Linked DNA regions of Arabidopsis thaliana. The protein of the gene in region 2 interacts with the protein of the main gene of each other region in a pairwise test. Each region holds a gene or a part of one and is shown on either strand. Other genes may lie near its edges.

Region 1 (5,608 bases), 7.8 Mb from region 2:
TCATTAAAAGAACTTATAACATTCATTATCACTTGTTAACGACTCTATTAGTATCCCTAAAACGACTTTGTTTTGAGAGTAATCAAAAGAAAATCAGGATTGTTTTCTAAATGAAACCCTACTTCCCCAAATCTATTTTTACAACCGCTCAAACAAGACGAACAATCTTATAATGAGTCTTCAATTTGCTTCCATGATTCCTTTTAAAATTTAAAACAAATATATAAACGAAAACACCTTTATTTGCTTCCAATTACTGGCACTGCGATTATCTCTTTATCAAACTATGTTCTTGGGTTCTGCTTAAAACTTTTTGATATGGAGATTTCATATGGAAAAAATCTTTATGTTCTTTCGATTATTCTTGAACGACGTTATTTTGGACAGATTAACAGTCATTAACGGGTTTCTAGGTTCTACTGATAAAGACATGTCTATTTTGGCCTGGTCAACGAATTTTTCATGTTTTAAATGGTATTCAACGTTTAATTCATGTTTTAAATAGCCACATAAGAAGTTGATGTTTAAAATGGCCACAATTTGAAACTTGACTAATAAAGTTAACGAATGATAACGGACGTTAGAAGTTCCGTTAATGACTGATAACGGCATGTCTATTTTGGCCTGGTCAACGAAAGATCATGTTTTAAAAATTAGTCAACGTTTAGTTCATGTTTTAAACGGCCACATATGAAATTGATGTATAAAATGGCCATTTTTTGAAAGTTGGGGGATTAAATGACATTTTTCCCCTAAATCAACCATCACAAATCATAACTAGATCAAACAGAGTAATGGTAACTTTACGAACCATATCATTAAATACATATGCCTACACATTTATATACCAATTACTTTGCTAAACATCATTTTCTTACATGACACCACTAAATATATCAAACAAGAAATTATGAAAATGTAGTAAGAATTTTTTCTTTCTCGGTAGTAAGATTAAAATCCATTCAAAAGACTACTAAAAAAAAATCTAAAACTAATTTTGTTATAGAAAAAAAATTACAAAACCAACCCCTCTATTTCTCAAAATATTACAAAACTACCAAACTAATTAATTCTTCAAGCCGAACCAAACACCAAACCACTCACGCTAGGAGTTACATGCTCCTGCATCGTGGACTGGTGATGACGGTGCTCTCCTTCGTACGTCACAATCAACATCGTTGAATCATCCAAAGCTCTTTCCACGTGTTTCCTCGCTGGACATCCTCTAAATGTACTACACTTGTAATAACCCCTGAAATCAACAAAAACAAATCACAACCGTTAGATCTCCAATGTTTCACAAATAAATCAACGGTGGATAGCGATGGTGTACGATAGTTACCGTGGATGTGGTGAGCCTTTGATCGGTTTTTGTCCATACTTTCTCCATGAATATTCGTCTGGTGGTATATCGGCGATCTTTGCACTTACCGCCGGTACTCTCACGGTTCTCTTCATCCGATTTTTTCGGCTGTTAATTAAATAATAAAACATTGTAATTAGTGAAATGATTTAACGTGCGCTGACACGACTAACGTGAACATGCATCAGGTTAGCAAAAGTCAACGGGCAGACAAAGACTTTTAAAACGTAAAAACTTTCCCTATACAAAACGACAGCACCCACTAACTTGTCCTTGTCAGGCGTGCACTTTGGTTTAAGTTACTGTCGTTGACTTTCACTAAATACATTGACCGATTGGTTTAGATAGTACCAAACCGGTCTACAAAGTATTAAACCCGGATTTTTATTCTTTATTTTTTACTGAGACTAGTTAATTTAACTAGTAGACTTGTTCATGATTGACAAATTCGAGGCAAAAAAAGAATTTTGAAATCTGAATTCGTGATATATTTTCACTGAGTCCGTGAGCGATTGGTTTAGACCGTATCGAACCAAACAATTAACTACTACTAGGCTAGTCAAACAAATGATTAATTTATTGTGGAGTAATAACAATACCTTTTCTTGCAATGGCACTTGCCGTTGCCGGAGCCAGAGATCTTGCCGGAAAAGCCTTCAGAGTGGTCATGTTCAAAGCATCTCTTCCTGTAAGGAAGACCAGAAAGCGGCGGTTTCCCGGAGGAAGTCACTGGCACCGCTGGAGCCGGAGCAAGAAAGATCGAAGAGCCTTTAGAGACACTTCCATCACCGGTGATCGCAGAAGACATGAAAGAAGAGTTAGAAGATACGCTAAAGCTCTCTTTAGCAAACTCAACAACCTCCGAGCTCTTGGTTTTAGCGCCAAAAACGCTCGGTCTAGTGAAATCTAACGTCACGCTTTGTTGATTTGCCTGAACGAAGCTAACCGGTGCTGGAGCAGAGATCTGAGTGGGAGCCGGAGTTGTCACTTTCACCGGTGGAGGAACGGAGGAGGAAGGAGGGGAATGAACCGGACCACGTCTAAACCGGGCGTGACCGGAACGGTTAAGAAGAGAGATAACTTTCTTGAACTTAGAAACTGTGAAATCAGTGATCTCAGAGCAATCAACGTTACGTTCTTCGGGACGGTTAGAGAGGACACGAATCAAGTGTTCCATGCTTTTTAAGCCTTGTGATGCAGCTTCTTGTATAGCCGTTTGATCTTCCATCTTAGGTAAACGCATAATATCAACGGTCATGATGAGAAACCAGAGGAGAAACTTGAAGATCTGAGAAGATGTGCAAGTTTTTTTTGATGAATGAGAGAGCGAAACTGGAAGAAAAAAGAATGGCGTTGGCGTGATATATGGGGTTATGGGTGTGACCGAGTGACCGGTTGAGTAGGTTTAAGATGGAGTTTAGTCAAATCGGTGCTTTAGATCTAACGGCTGAGATTGAGTTGAAGATTTCTATGGAATAAAGTAATCAAAGTTTGGTCTCCTTGAGTTGTGAGATATGTAGGGTCTTCTTTTGTGCAAAGCAAGAATTTATAATCGTGTCTTTAAAATAAAGGAATCATTGTGCGTAAACTTGAATTTGGGGAAAATGGTGGTAAAGGAATTTCAAAGAAACAAAAAGTCAAATAAAAAACATTAAAGGATGGTGTCTAAAGAAAATCATAAAGCTTTTTTAAAGTCTCATATCTATTTTTTCTTTTATTAGGTATCTTATGTCTTCAAGTTCAAGTCAATAAATTTAAAATTAAAGGTAATGAATTGTTTTTATTTGTATGAACAATTGGGCTGATTTTTTTTTGTTTCTTTGGAATATTAGAAGGTCTTTAACCAAAATCCATAATTTATTCTTGAACCAAATCAAAATATGTAATATTAATTTCATCTCAAATCACATATTTTTCTTTAATAGGACTGGATTTTGATAGAATAAATTTTCAGCTAATTGTAAAATGGTATTAATTTCTTTTGTGATTTTGACTTTTGATAATATATTTTATGTTTTTTTATTTTATTCGTGTTAAGTTTTAGGCGTTATTCATGTTCTTTTTATGTTTTTGTGTTATTTTTAGCTTCAACCAACACTACAACTTGTCAATATTATATGGTGCACACATACCAAACTCGTGTTTGCAGCATATTTTTATTATTTCAATTTCTTTCTAGAATTATTACTAATTTTGCAGTGCATTGACAATAATAATTATTTGAAAATAATATTTGACTCCCATATTAACTTTGCACCTAATATATATTTTTTTTTTCTTACCTCATAGCCTTCTAGAAAACGTCTTGACTGGAAAACTAGTAAATTGAAAACAATCTTTTCTTGACTTTTAATTTTACCTAATTAATCTACACAGATTGTGGAACAATTAACAATCATTAATAGAGATTAAAGGCTATAATAACAGCGACAATCGTTGACTATATCTTATTAGTATAGTCTACAAGTCTTTAGTTGAGAACAGCGATAAAGAAAAACGACAAAGTAGGAAAACAAAAGCTGACTACAAATAAAATAAAAGTGATCACATGGACGCATTTCTTTTTAAAACACAGAACTATTGACTACCTCGGTAACCGAGTGATTCCGGTTAACTATTATCTGGGCCGTTGATAATCCAAAAGTTAGATCCAACGGTGGATCTGTGAACTGTGGAGTTGACTCTTTGATATTATTCTCTTTAACTACTTTTTTTTTGAGAATCTAAAAAACACCTTTTACCACGGCAACTGATCTTCCGACACGTGGCAATTCTGGCTGACTCATAAATTGTCACCTGTCCACAAGATTCTTTTTTTTTTGTTGCTTATAGAAATAAAGTAAACAATACCAATACAGTTAGGAATGGAGGAAATTAAATGAATAAAAAGAGCCAATTTGCAGCTCGATCTAATCCTACTTGAGGAGATAATTTGAAGTTTTCTCTACATTTTTCTAAATAAGGTTTAATTGGTAAATTTTTAATCGCATTTATAAAATGGCATATAGATTTTAGAAGATTTATTACTAATCACCAAAGCAGAAACATGAGTAAATATTAACATTACTATAAATTACTTTTTAATCTTTTGTTTACTTTCAAACTTCAGTTAAAACAACTCTTTGTTTCAATACACCACCGTTTTCCGGTGATTTCAGTTTGTCGGAATATACATGTTTCGATAATTTTGGTATATGCAGTGTTTTCTTGTAGTTGTTATATGCAGTGTTTTCTTGTAATTATACTTATTCAAAAATTCCAAAGTTTTATCACTTGTAGAAGAAAATATCAACCATACTTACTTAGCTGAATTCTTTTAAGCCAAGAAGACTACATGAAAGAAAAAGAAAAAGAAAATTACGACGTGTTTTCTTTGTCAATGATATATGACGTGTTATGTGTGCAAAAACAGACCTCAAGATGTATAATTGAAACATTTTTAAATATTTGTCAACGGAATGCATTATAAATTAGCGACATGGGAATCGTTGACCTAACCGACTAATATATATGATTGTCGTGCACGTCTACATTTTTTTTAAAAGCATTTTATTTTTTCATTTCTGATTTTGTAAACTTTTACTTACTTTTAAATTCCTTTTCTATATCAAATTTTAATGTCCTTTTCTAAATTTATAATTTATGAATCTCTAAAAATATATTATACTATATATTTCAATGTTATCTCCTCTAAAAATGTCTCCTTTATATCTTATCTAAATTATCTTTTCTATAAAATGGTCGCATAGAAATAATAATCTTCGCGTATTTGAAATAATTGTTTTGTTAGCCCATGCAAAACGAATGAGATCAAACCAGTGAAAGAAGACACATGTTGGGTAAAATACTTATTTTGTATATGTTGTATCTATGAATTCATACGGTACTAACGAACGAAGTTTTATTTTTTTTTGTTTTTTTGTTGTTTACGTATTTCAAACTTCCAACCATTGTTTTTTTTTTTTATAATAGTACGGTCAATATTGAATTTTTAATTATTAGTTAGTGGATGATAGAAATAATGCACATTTGTTATCAGAAAAATACAATATATAAGCCATGATGTATAATTATTGCTATTCACTCGAGAAGATTTGGCTTTATTTATGCCAAAGATACTGAGAAAAGATTTGGGGATTACTTAGCGAATTAGAGTTATCGATTTGAATAGTTTGTAGAAGTCAATGTAACCTCCACGAGATAAATTATTGGTAAATGTATTAATATCTATGAGATAATGATTAA
Region 2 (5,997 bases):
CCCAATACTGGCACATCCACAATCAGATCAACCTTGATTCTGTAAGGTATGATCATCCCGGGGTTGATATCGTTGTAAGTGCTCTTGATGTCATCATAGATCAACGTCAATGGTATCTTCACAGTTTCTTCTCCATGAGCCTTGAGTGTTCCAGCATCCGGGATCAAACCAGAAACCAGTTTCCTCCCATCGCTCTCGACCAGGTAGTTGACATCGATGAGAGGGATAGGAACTGGATTCGGGTTCTTGACAAGCACATCCACAACAATATCTGCCCTCTCAAGATTGATCTTAGGGATATGAATCGCAGAGACATCAGCAGTTGGCTTCCCAAAGCCAATGGTTCCCTCGAGTTTCTCACCAATGTCATGAATGAAATCTTTCACCTTATCGAGGAATCCACCTTTCCCTTCTTCTTTTTCCTCGTCCTTATCCTTCTGACTTCTATCGACGATTTCCACGTCACCCTCCTGATGAACTACTCTACTGATGATTTCCGGTTTATCCTCAGATGTCGACATGCCTCCTAAGCAGCAAGAAAAGTCAATTAGTGCCACAGAAACAAAAGCTTAGAGTATCAAAGAATAGACAAAACTTCAAGCATTCAACGCCGAGAGTAGATTCATCAATCACAGCAGGACAATGGTTGTAAAAGTCAAACAAAGTGTAATCACAGTTTTTAGTAGTTGTAAGAGGCTATAATCACCAAAACAAAGTTTCTCACCAAAGACCATAGAGAACTCGCATCACATTAGATATCATCAACTAGGATCCTAGTGGAATATCCCAAACCAAAGAACATACAATGCATCTCTGTACTAAGAGACAATGATCATATCACGTGAATCAAGAGGATTCGTGGGAAATACAGATCCGAATGTTCGATCTACACATGATAGCACTAGATCAACCTAAATGTCAAACAGATCGGAGAAACAAAAAGCTCGATCTAATTACACCACCTTTTTCCATGTATTCCGATCAAATCATGAAGGATCAACGCAAGAACAACAATGAAGAGAAATAAAACTTAGTGGATTTGATTTTTACCTGGATTGGATGAATGTGAGTCACAGAGACAAAGAGAAGAGAGTGCTCCAAGAGTCACAAAATGATTATAGATTGTGGAATTGGTTGATCCGTTGAACTTTATATTAACTATTATCAATGTGACGCGTAATCTTCGCTCGCCGACAAAATTTTCGTCGTGTAAGATCCTTATTGGCTTTTAAAATTGACATCCATTTCGACACCTCAATTTCAAGATATTACAACAAAGAAGATCACATTTTTGATTAGTACAGAAAGACCCCCAAAATTCGGAGGAATTATTATTATCATACGATTCAAAAAAAAAAAACAAGGCCAGAAGCTTACAAAAGCGTTTAAATGATTTTGTAACCAAGGGTAAAACATTTTGACAATCTTTGAGGTACAAACAATTTCAGAGACTGGATTGTAACCAAATGGGACAACATCAAGAGGTTCTCATACGTGATCATGTTCATCCATCGAACGAGCCGAGCTATTTCAGGTGGTGCTCAAACAACGACGCCATTTCGAGCTGAAAAACAAGAGGAAGAAATATTCAAAGACTTTACCAAAAAGACATAAGAACCCGAATGGTTATAACATGACCAGTTGCTCAATGGAATGATCAGGAATTTCTACATCTTATTCTAACAATAAAGGATTGAATCATAATGATACTTACCGCCGTCAAAGCAGTTTCAGCTCCCTTATTGCCGGCTTTGCCACCAGATCGATTCAGAGCCTAGAGTTTCAGTTAACCACAATATTAACAAATTCAGTGTTCATCCATTATGATGAATAAGCTATATATCATCAACTCTTGCATAACACAACTTAAACCTGATCCATGTCCTCGCAAGTCAGTACACCAAATATGCATGGAACGCCTGCAAATTGGATTTTTTATAAGCTTTAATTACTAGAGTCAATAGTGCGTAAACACAAAATTTGAAGAAGTAATTCATGATGAGGGAATTTAAACATCCAAAATCCAAAGAAAAGCAAAAATGAACTACCCGCTCTTTTAGGTTCGGAAGTATACAAAATCAATCTTTCAGTGTTTCCAAAACAATGTCAAATAAAAATGTCTAAAGATGTATATCCAGCAAATAAGTATCGAGGTAAACCTGAATTTATGCTAGCAGAAAGTACTCCAGACGCAGCAGAGTTGGCAACAGCATCATAATGTGTGGTATCTCCTCTTATCTAAACCACAACAAGGACAACAGTAATATCAAAATCCAACTCTTTAAGTATATGTTATCAACATAAAGCAACTACTTTCTGAAGCCATATGAGGAGAAAAACAAATGGAATAGCCTGAGATTCTTTCAAAACAAGAATCATACCACAGCGCCGATACATAAAACAGCATGAAATTTTCCCGATTTCCCAAGATTTTGTGCAACAACACCAATTTCAAAGCTGCCAGGAACCCAAATAACCTGAATAAAAACAGTGTCATTAGCTTTGTGAAAGCTCATAACTTTTTATTCTGTTCTACAAGCAAAAGACTTTTACTTCAATGTCTTCTTCTCTGACTGAATACTTCTTGAAAGTCTCAATCGCTCCTTCCAAAAGCAACTTAGTCACAACCTCATTGAAACGAGCTACCACCTTGAGAAAGAAAAATGAATCAGAACCAAGTCAACACTGCAATTGAGCTCAAAGTTTTCAAATTTCACTGTAAATCAGAACCAAGTCACTAAATCTAAGCAGCGCACAAAGTAAGAAAGCGATTCTGAGAACTCACGATGGCGAATCTAAGACCTTCGCCTCTGATAAGAGACCCCGTAACATGGCGAACAGCAGCCGTCTGTACGAATGAAGAGCGTAATTCCTTCTCTACAGCTAGTGGTGACGCAAATCCTAACACCAAATGTTAACATCTCAATCACGAAATTGCGAAAAAACGATTTGAGTTATTATAAGAGAAGTGAGAGAAAGCAAGCTTACCGGATGTGGATGAGGAGAATGAGAGATTATTGGATTTGTTCACAGAAGAGCCACCGTGTATATAACAGGCGGAGGAAGATTGACGCGAATTGAGCTGACGGTGTGCCGTCGGTATCAGGCGGAGACACGGCGGCGAAGCTAATGACTTCATTTTTCGTTCGTCGGAGTTTTAGAGACGGTTCTTCGTTCTTCAGGTTAAGAGTGAGACTGTGAGGTCCATTAGCTTATCAAATCGGTTCAAGGCTTCCGGTTTATTATTTTCATTAAAATTACGGTTTCATTGAATCTATTAGTTTGGTTAGAGATTTCCGGTTTGATGAAAAGGGATAAGCTAAACCCTACATCCCCAATCACTCTCACCGGCCGGAAATTTTCAGACAAAAGTGAAAGATTTAAACTTTTGACTCCGTCGTAACAAAGAACAAAACTTCCGTATCCTGGAGAGTAAATTCCTTTATGGCTACGAATGGGTACGTTTCGAAACCTACGAATTTCACGTTTTGATTGACGGAGATGAGCTTTAAACTCTTTAAGAGGATTCTATTGAATTTAAACGATTTGATCACAGGTTAATGGCGTCGTCCAGTGTGTTTCTTCATCGCCCGCGTATCGCATTTGCTTCTAGAACGAATCAGACTGTAGGAAAATACGGTAAAGGCCGTGTTAGTTTCATGGGCATTGGGACACGTCGTCTTCCGGTGGTTTTATCCATGACGGCGATGGCGGATTCCGGTGAGGAGGCCGTGAAATCTGTTTTGCCTGGAAATGGCATATCCATCATGGTAAACCTGATCATCTGATGATTTCTCTTAGACTCAAAGTTGTGAGATTTGACTTTGCATTACCATTTAAGTTTGAAATGTAGAAATGTCAAAGCTTGTTCCTTTTGAAATGGGGATTTTTATGTTGGATTTAGCTATATTCATTATCTCTTATTCTACAGGTGAATGGATGTAGTGGCAAAATGGGGAAAGCTGTAATTAAAGCAGCAGACTCTGCAGGAGTAAATATTGTTCCCATATCGTTTGGATCTGCTGGTGAGGATGGTCAGAGAGTTGAGGTCTGTGGAAAGGAGATTACTGTGCACGGTCCAACTGAAAGAGAAAAGGTTCTTTCTTCGGTGTTTGAGAAGCACCCGGAGCTAATTGTTGTCGACTACACAATTCCCTCTGCAGTAAATGGTAAACTTCAGAATCTCTCATTTCTACCATCAAAAGACAATTGTATTCTAGATTTGTTGAAGTTATGGTTGAATTCTGGTTGGCGGAACGATCCTTGATTGAGTTAGTTTAGAATTTGTGCAAGTGAAAATCATCTGCTAGAAGTGTTTTTTTTGTCTATTGTTTGTTGATTTCAAGTTTGGTATTCTCGCAAAATGTAGATAATGCGGAGCTGTATAGCAAAGTAGGTGTTCCTTTCGTCATGGGAACAACTGGTGGAGATAGGAACAAATTGTATGAAACTGTTGAGGAAGCAAAGATTTATGCTGTGATTTCTCCACAGATGGGTAAACAGGTATGTGTACTTGAATGTTTCTGGAAGAAATGATTACTTATGCATGTAAGTTAAGATCATTTTTGCTCATATTTGTGTGCTTTGTTGGTCTATAGGTTGTAGCATTTCTTGCGGCCATGGAGATCATGGCTGAGCAGTTTCCGGGAGCCTTTTCTGGTTATTCCTTGGATGTACTTTTCTTACTTCTTTTATACATTCAAATTCTTTTTTCTTTCTCTGTTAGTTTTATATTACTTCTTGCTACATCTAATCAACTGCCAATCTATATGTAGGTGATGGAGTCTCATCAAGCTAGCAAATTGGATGCATCCGGAACAGCAAAAGCTGTTATTTCTTGCTTCCAGGAATTGGGTGTGTCTTACGACATGGATCAGGTGCATTGGTCATCCTTTATTGTTTACATCTTGGCAATCACTTAATTTATCCTCGGAATGTGAATTTTCTGTGTATACAACTTTTGTGGCAGATACAATTGATTCGGGATCCAAAACAGCAAGTGGAGATGGTGGGTGTACCTGAGGAGCATATCTCTGGTCACGCTTTCCATCTTTATCACTTGACATCACCCGATGAAACGTAATGCAATATCTAAGATATTGTTTATACTTTTCTTTGTTTCCATTGTAAAAGTGTCTCTGTTCCATAACTAGCTCCCTTTTCTTTGTCTTTCTTTGCAGTGTCTCCTTCGAGTTCCAGCACAATGTCTGCGGCCGATCAATTTATGCTGAGGGTACTGTTGATGCCGTGCTCTTCCTCGCCAAAAAGGTTCTAAAGCTTGCTCTTATTGCTCATCATGATTCTGCGAAATTGAATCTCAGCTTTCTCTGAGTCTCACCGCTCTTCTCTATAATGCTAATTGTTGATTCAACACTTTTGTGAAATGCAGATTCGATTGAAAGCAGATCAGCGAATCTACAACATGATCGATGTCTTGAGAGAGGGAAATATGCGTTGAGCTTTCGAGTTTTGCCAGTGCATTGACCAAATGGTGGTTGTAGAAGAGCTGAGATTAGATTTACCAAATCATCAGCTGTGAAAATTAGATGTTTGGTTTCCCACTTCTTCTGCCTTGAGCACAGGCTTTTGAAATTCCTTGGTATATACAAGAACTTGCCATTGTATTGTTCATGTTTTGACCTCTTTACCTCAATGTTATTCTCCTTTCTGGATCATTGAAGTGAAGTCTTATTGATCAAACTTCTCCACAACAATTCTCAGACAAAGTAAAACCTAAATTCATCAAATGGACCCTTCACTTACCATTTGATGATTCAACATCTAAAATGAGATCAAGTGCATAATCATAGTAAGGAACTTGACCACTCAATCCGCAGAGATTGAAATCATCTTGTATATAATCTTAATCGACAAAGTTTATTCAATCTGGTGTTGTTAAGATTTTTGGCTTTTATTGTTATTCTCATTGAACAAATGAGTCACTTCGACTGTTCTTGGCGGTATGCATTTTAGGGCAGGCAACTAAGAAGAACTCCG
Region 3 (5,415 bases), about 18 Mb from region 2:
TTGATGACCTCCAGAATAAAAACCAAGAGCTAATGAAACAGATAGAAATTTGTCAGGTATCACTTTCGCCTCCTTTACCCAGCAGTACTATAAATTCCTGGATCTCTCTCCTTCGTTTTCGTGAGCATGCCTTGTTTATCGATTGTTCAAATTAGGAAGAGAACAGAATTTTGGACAAGTTGCACAGACAAAAGGTTGCAGAAGTTGAAAAGTTTACCCAGACCGTACGGGAGCTTGAAGAAGCTGTTCTTGCTGGTGGTACAGCTGCAAATGCAGTGAGAGATTACCAGAGGAAATTTCAAGAAATGAATGTAATAATTAAATTACACGTTTAGTGCCTCATTAGCCTATTGCTACCCTTGTACTTAAAATTCAATTCCTGTGCTAATCATAGCTATGGCCATTAATCCTTTCATTAGGAAGAGAGGAGAATCCTTGATCGGGAACTGGCTCGTGCCAAAGTAAGTGCAAGCAGGGTTGCAACTGTAGTGGCAAATGAGTGGAAAGATGGTAGCGATAAAGTGATGCCTGTGAAGCAATGGCTCGAAGAACGAAGATTTCTGCAGGTTACTTTTGATATTTTATTTTTGGGCTTCTGTTACTGCTTCGAGTTGTGATTCATATTCACAGGAACCATTGTAACTTGAGTAAGTGCATTCTTTAACCATTTTCCTGTTTCTTTTTGGACAGGGAGAAATGCAACAACTACGTGACAAACTTGCCATAGCTGATCGAGCTGCAAAATCTGAAGCTCAGCTAAAGGTAAGAATTCGGAGTTCAGATCCATATAGCTTTAGTCTTCTTTATGTCCTTATGTATCAAGGCTTTAATTAGAATTGCTGCTTTTGCCTTTTGCAGGAGAAATTTCAACTGCGGCTTAGAGTCTTAGAAGAGAGTTTAAGAGGGCCTTCAAGCAGTGGAAACCGATCGACACCTGAGGGAAGAAGTATGAGCAACGGGCCTTCTCGAAGACAATCCCTTGGCGGAGCTGATATTATTCCGAAACTGACATCAAATGGATTTTTCTCCAAGAGGTCACCAAGTTCTCAGTTTAGATCTTTGAATGCTAGTACAAGCACAATATTGAAGCATGCGAAAGGAACATCCAGATCATTTGACGGAGGCAGTAGATCTTTAGATAGGAGTAAAGTACTAACAAACGAACCCAGATCGAAGTTTCCATTGAACCAATCTTCTGAAGGAACAAGCGGAGGCGGGTCACCTAATTCAACAAAACAAGGAGATTCAGAGAAAGCAGCAGGGACAAATAATGATAGTGTCCCAGGAGTATTACATGATTTGCTTCAAAAGGAGGTGATAACTTTAAGGAAAGCTGCTAATGATAAAGATCAAAGCCTTAGAGATAAAGACGAAGCTATTGAGGTTAGTCATTAGTTTTACACCTTTCCAAGAAACGTTTGCTTATATTTATTTATATTCTCTGATCAAAATACTTGGGCTTGTGTTTGCTTTTAGATGTTGGCCAAGAAGGTTGAAACACTAACAAAGGCGATGGAAGTGGAAGCAAAGAAGATGCGAAGAGAAGTAGCAGCAATGGAGAAAGAGGTTTCAGCTATGCGTGTGGATAACAAAGGATCAGATAGTAGAACGAGACGTCACTCTACTAACTCAAAAGGAGCTTCAACAACTGCACAGTTACTTTCTGGAAGGTACCTGATGTTTTCTTATTATAATGACCCAATGTAACGATTATAAGTTGGTTAGGTTAGTTTTCTTTAACACTTGAACGTTTGCTTTGCATTGTTGTTTTAGCAGAGGCTCAGGACGAATGGGGATGACGAGGAGCACGCAGTGATCAAAGAAGTCGATTCCACGAGCAAAATATGAATCTCAATTCAGTGGTTAATAGATTGAAGGAATGACAAAAAGCATACAAATATAGAAATCCAATATGGGAGGTTTGTGTGCTTCTTAACATAGTAAGATTTCAAAGTTAAAAACTGATTTTTAATTTCTTGGCTGATGTTTATTGTTTTCCTCATATATAGAAAAGAGTTAGGTTTGTGTTTTAACTACTAACTTGAGCTTAGTGTGTGATTTATTGTATCTCTCTCTATCTTACCTTTGTCCATTTTTCTCATTTTGGGGTATGTTATAGATTTAAGAAATTAGTTCAGAAACAGAGGTGAGAGTTATTAGTGAAAAAATTGAAATTGTCATTAGTTTCATTGATCCAGACACAACATTCACTAACATTAGTTGAGTCTGGTCTCCTTGAAGGCTTGAAAAGAGATGTCCCTTTGAATATAATGAATCTGTGAAGGATCAAAAGGACCTCTCACTCTATCAATCTTTGTAATGACTGCTCTCTCCGGCAACACACTCCTCGCCGGATCCACCGCCGTTTCTCCGCTCAAGCACGACGACACTCCTTTAAAGATTACAACTTCCACTTCTTCATCGTCGACAATGGCCGTCACTATAAGCGCTTCTTCTCTACACGACTGGCTATATATCTCCAACATCGCCATTTCCTCGTTGTATCCATACATTTCATCTTCATCTTCACCACCTCCCTCGTCTCTCACCCTTCTCCGAGCACCGCACCAGAACATCTTCAAAGCTCTTCTTCTCTCCGCCACTGGAGGGACGGTGAAAAGTTTTTTCCGGTAGTTATACGAGTTTGTGAGCGAGGGTATTTTAGTCATTTGATCTTTCTGTCCGAAAACGAATAATCCGGCTATGCCACCGGATAAATTCGCCGGCGTGATAAGCATTCTGATATTGTAGTGCATGAGGACCGTGACTTTGTCTATAGATAAGATTTTAAAGGACTCGTGTATGTTTACAAATAAGGGTAGTACCAATTGGATTAATTACAACAGAGTGCCACTACAGCTATTACCAGTCGCTTTCGTTGCCTCTCTCTTCAAACCAGTGGCTACTTACTCAACACTGTACGTCTTCAATCATTTCTTCTTCTTTCTTCTCCAACCAAAATCTCTTTCTCAGTTCTCTAGGGTTTTCAATACTCACACCAAAGCTTAATGCCGATCAACGATCAGTTTCCTAGTGGGTTAAGAATACTCGTTGTAGACGATGATACTTCATGCTTGTTCATTCTCGAGAAAATGCTTCTCCGTCTCATGTACCAAGGTCTAATTCTTTATCAAAGTTCCCACCTTTTAATAGATTTTCTCAAGAAAGTTTTAACATTTTTGTTTTATCTTCTCTTTGTAGTTACAATTTGCTCACAAGCTGATGTTGCGTTAACCATTCTAAGAGAAAGAAAAGACAGTTTTGATTTGGTGCTAAGTGATGTTCATATGCCTGGTATGAATGGTTACAATCTTCTTCAACAAGTTGGTCTTCTTGAAATGGATCTTCCTGTCATTAGTAAGACTCTGTTGTTATGTTTTGTCTCTAAAGATTGAATCTTTGCATCAATGTTTCTTACATTTGCTCTGTTTCTAGTGATGTCTGTTGATGGAAGAACAACTACAGTCATGACTGGAATCAACCATGGAGCTTGTGATTATCTAATCAAACCTATTCGTCCTGAAGAGCTTAAGAACATTTGGCAACATGTTGTTAGAAGGAAATGTGTGATGAAGAAAGAGCTTCGAAGTTCTCAAGCTTTAGAGGATAACAAGAACAGTGGTAGCCTCGAGACTGTTGTTGTTTCGGTTAGTGAATGCTCAGAGGAAAGTTTGATGAAATGTAGGAATAAGAAGAAGAAGAAGAAGAGAAGTGTTGATAGAGATGATAATGAAGATGATCTTCTTCTTGATCCTGGAAACTCGAAGAAGTCACGCGTTGTTTGGTCTATTGAATTGCATCAACAATTCGTTAATGCCGTAAACAAACTTGGAATTGACAGTATGATCCTAAACACTATCTTATTGCTTGTAGAAGAAATTCAAAGTAATTTGTGCTTATAAGAATCTCTCTTATTGTTTCAGAAGCTGTACCAAAGCGGATTCTCGAGTTGATGAATGTTCCTGGTTTAAGCAGAGAAAACGTGGCTAGTCATTTACAGGTTTCTTTGATTGATTGATTGAATCTTTCTTCTTATTAGGGTCTCTATAAGGGTTATGACTGAATCAATACCATTTGCAGAAGTTCCGATTGTATTTGAAGAGATTAAGCGGTGAAGCTTCGCAGAGTAATGACTCTGAGTCTACCAAAAGATATGAAAACATTCAAGCTCTGGTTTCCTCAGGACAATTACATCCACAGACATTAGCTGCATTGTTTGGTCAACCAATAGACAATCATCACTCTGCTAGTTTTGGAGTTTGGATTCCTAATGACAATCTTGGTAGATCTCAAAATGAACACTTCTCGGTTGATGTATCATCCGCTTCTAACCGTCCTGTTTCTGTGGCGGTTCATGGTCTATCTTCCTCAGCAAATTTCAGACAGAGAGGTGACGTTAACAACAACAGAATCAGACAAGGGTATGGATCAAATGTCAATGAAGAATCTTGGATCTTGGAAAGATCTTCAAGACAAAGATAGTGACCAATATGGATACGCTTAAGAAGAGAAGGCTCTGCAACTGTTTCTTTTAAATCTTCAGGAATGGATTAATGTCAGAAGAAAACTTGTGTGTCTGCAATGTTAGCTTAGGAAAGTAATTATGTAACCAATATTTTGAATTGTTATCTCTCACTTTATTATGGTTGCCAAAAGTTTTAGCCTGATAATAACCACAAGACATGCAACAAACAAGTCTCAAAGTACACAAAACATCAAACGCAACACTAGTTTTGTTACTGCTAATGTTGCACAACTTTAGCCAAACAAAAAGCAGCAGCTGAAGCAATCGCTCCTATAAAGGCGGTTTCAAACGCACTTCTGAGGGGCTTGCTTCCAGTGAAATGCCCTTTTGCATAGCCAAATATGAAGAGCGCAAACAGAGTTATAACCACAGACGCCACTACCGCATCCATGGCATGCGGTATGAGCATGTAGGGAAGTAACGGTATAAAACCGCCAAGAACATAAGCGATTGCAATCGTGAACGCGCTTTGTAACGCTCTTTTTGGATCAGGCTTCTCTAATCCCAGCTCAAACCTGTAACGAAACAATAAAGTCTCACTTATATAACAAGTTACATGCTTATAGTAGGAATATAAACATTTTGTGATAGGTAAAGAGTGTTAAACTTAACCAAATCAATAAGATAAGTTTTTATATTCACGTAATTTGTTGTTTTCTGTTTGTTACTATTCACGTACTTTATTTGTTGCAACAAAAAAGATTAAAATTGGAAGTCGGACCATATAAGAATCTTGCCCACACCTGGAAAGTATAAGCTCAGCTTTTGCAGAAATCTAAAAGTATCCCTCGATTTTCTCTTTAATTAAGACTATATAATATACATAAAATAATACTAATGGACTATATAGTATACATAAAATAACACTAATTTTCATTAGTGAGACTAAC

What was found. Proteins that work in one complex are often made in the same cells at the same time.
Region 1: the proteins of COS1 (region 2) and WRKY17 interact in binary tests that used the Arabidopsis thaliana proteins (3 or more experiments, as listed by UniProt).
Region 3: the proteins of COS1 (region 2) and RR14 interact in binary tests that used the Arabidopsis thaliana proteins (3 or more experiments, as listed by UniProt).

Annotation. Positions count from the first base shown.
Region 1 is NC_003071.7:10,436,602-10,442,209, forward strand, and holds WRKY17 (WRKY DNA-binding protein 17), read right to left. Parts: upstream 2,869-5,608; 5' UTR 2,622-2,868; coding exon 1,963-2,621; intron 1,472-1,962; coding exon 1,343-1,471; intron 1,253-1,342; coding exon 1,075-1,252; 3' UTR 752-1,074; downstream 1-751.
Region 2 is NC_003071.7:18,221,446-18,227,442, reverse strand, and holds COS1 (6,7-dimethyl-8-ribityllumazine synthase / DMRL synthase / lumazine synthase / riboflavin synthase), read right to left. Parts: upstream 3,231-5,997; 5' UTR 3,140-3,230; coding exon 2,989-3,139; intron 2,902-2,988; coding exon 2,786-2,901; intron 2,650-2,785; coding exon 2,554-2,649; intron 2,478-2,553; coding exon 2,382-2,477; intron 2,239-2,381; coding exon 2,160-2,238; intron 1,920-2,159; coding exon 1,873-1,919; intron 1,775-1,872; coding exon 1,715-1,774; intron 1,565-1,714; coding exon 1,526-1,564; 3' UTR 1,210-1,525; downstream 1-1,209. Other genes in the region: AT2G44060 (Late embryogenesis abundant protein, group 2), read right to left, coding at 1-521; AT2G44040 (Dihydrodipicolinate reductase, bacterial/plant), read left to right, coding at 3,445-3,458, 3,557-3,770, 3,932-4,169, 4,370-4,503, 4,599-4,673, 4,776-4,877, 4,970-5,079, 5,181-5,268 and 1 more. UniProt on the Arabidopsis thaliana protein: Catalyzes the formation of 6,7-dimethyl-8-ribityllumazine by condensation of 5-amino-6-(D-ribitylamino)uracil with 3,4-dihydroxy-2-butanone 4-phosphate. This is the penultimate step in the biosynthesis of riboflavin.
Region 3 is NC_003071.7:330,033-335,447, forward strand, and holds RR14 (response regulator 14), read left to right. Parts: upstream 1-2,869; 5' UTR 2,870-3,008; coding exon 3,009-3,357; intron 3,358-3,435; coding exon 3,436-3,840; intron 3,841-3,923; coding exon 3,924-4,000; intron 4,001-4,080; coding exon 4,081-4,482; 3' UTR 4,483-4,664; downstream 4,665-5,415. Other genes in the region: MAP70-3 (microtubule-associated proteins 70-3), read left to right, coding at 1-56, 156-311, 420-566, 691-762, 859-1,383, 1,477-1,670, 1,774-1,816; AT2G01755 (uncharacterized protein), read right to left, coding at 2,217-2,756; VIT1 (vacuolar iron transporter 1), read right to left, coding at 4,743-5,040. UniProt on the Arabidopsis thaliana protein: Transcriptional activator that binds specifically to the DNA sequence 5'-[AG]GATT-3'. Functions as a response regulator involved in His-to-Asp phosphorelay signal transduction system.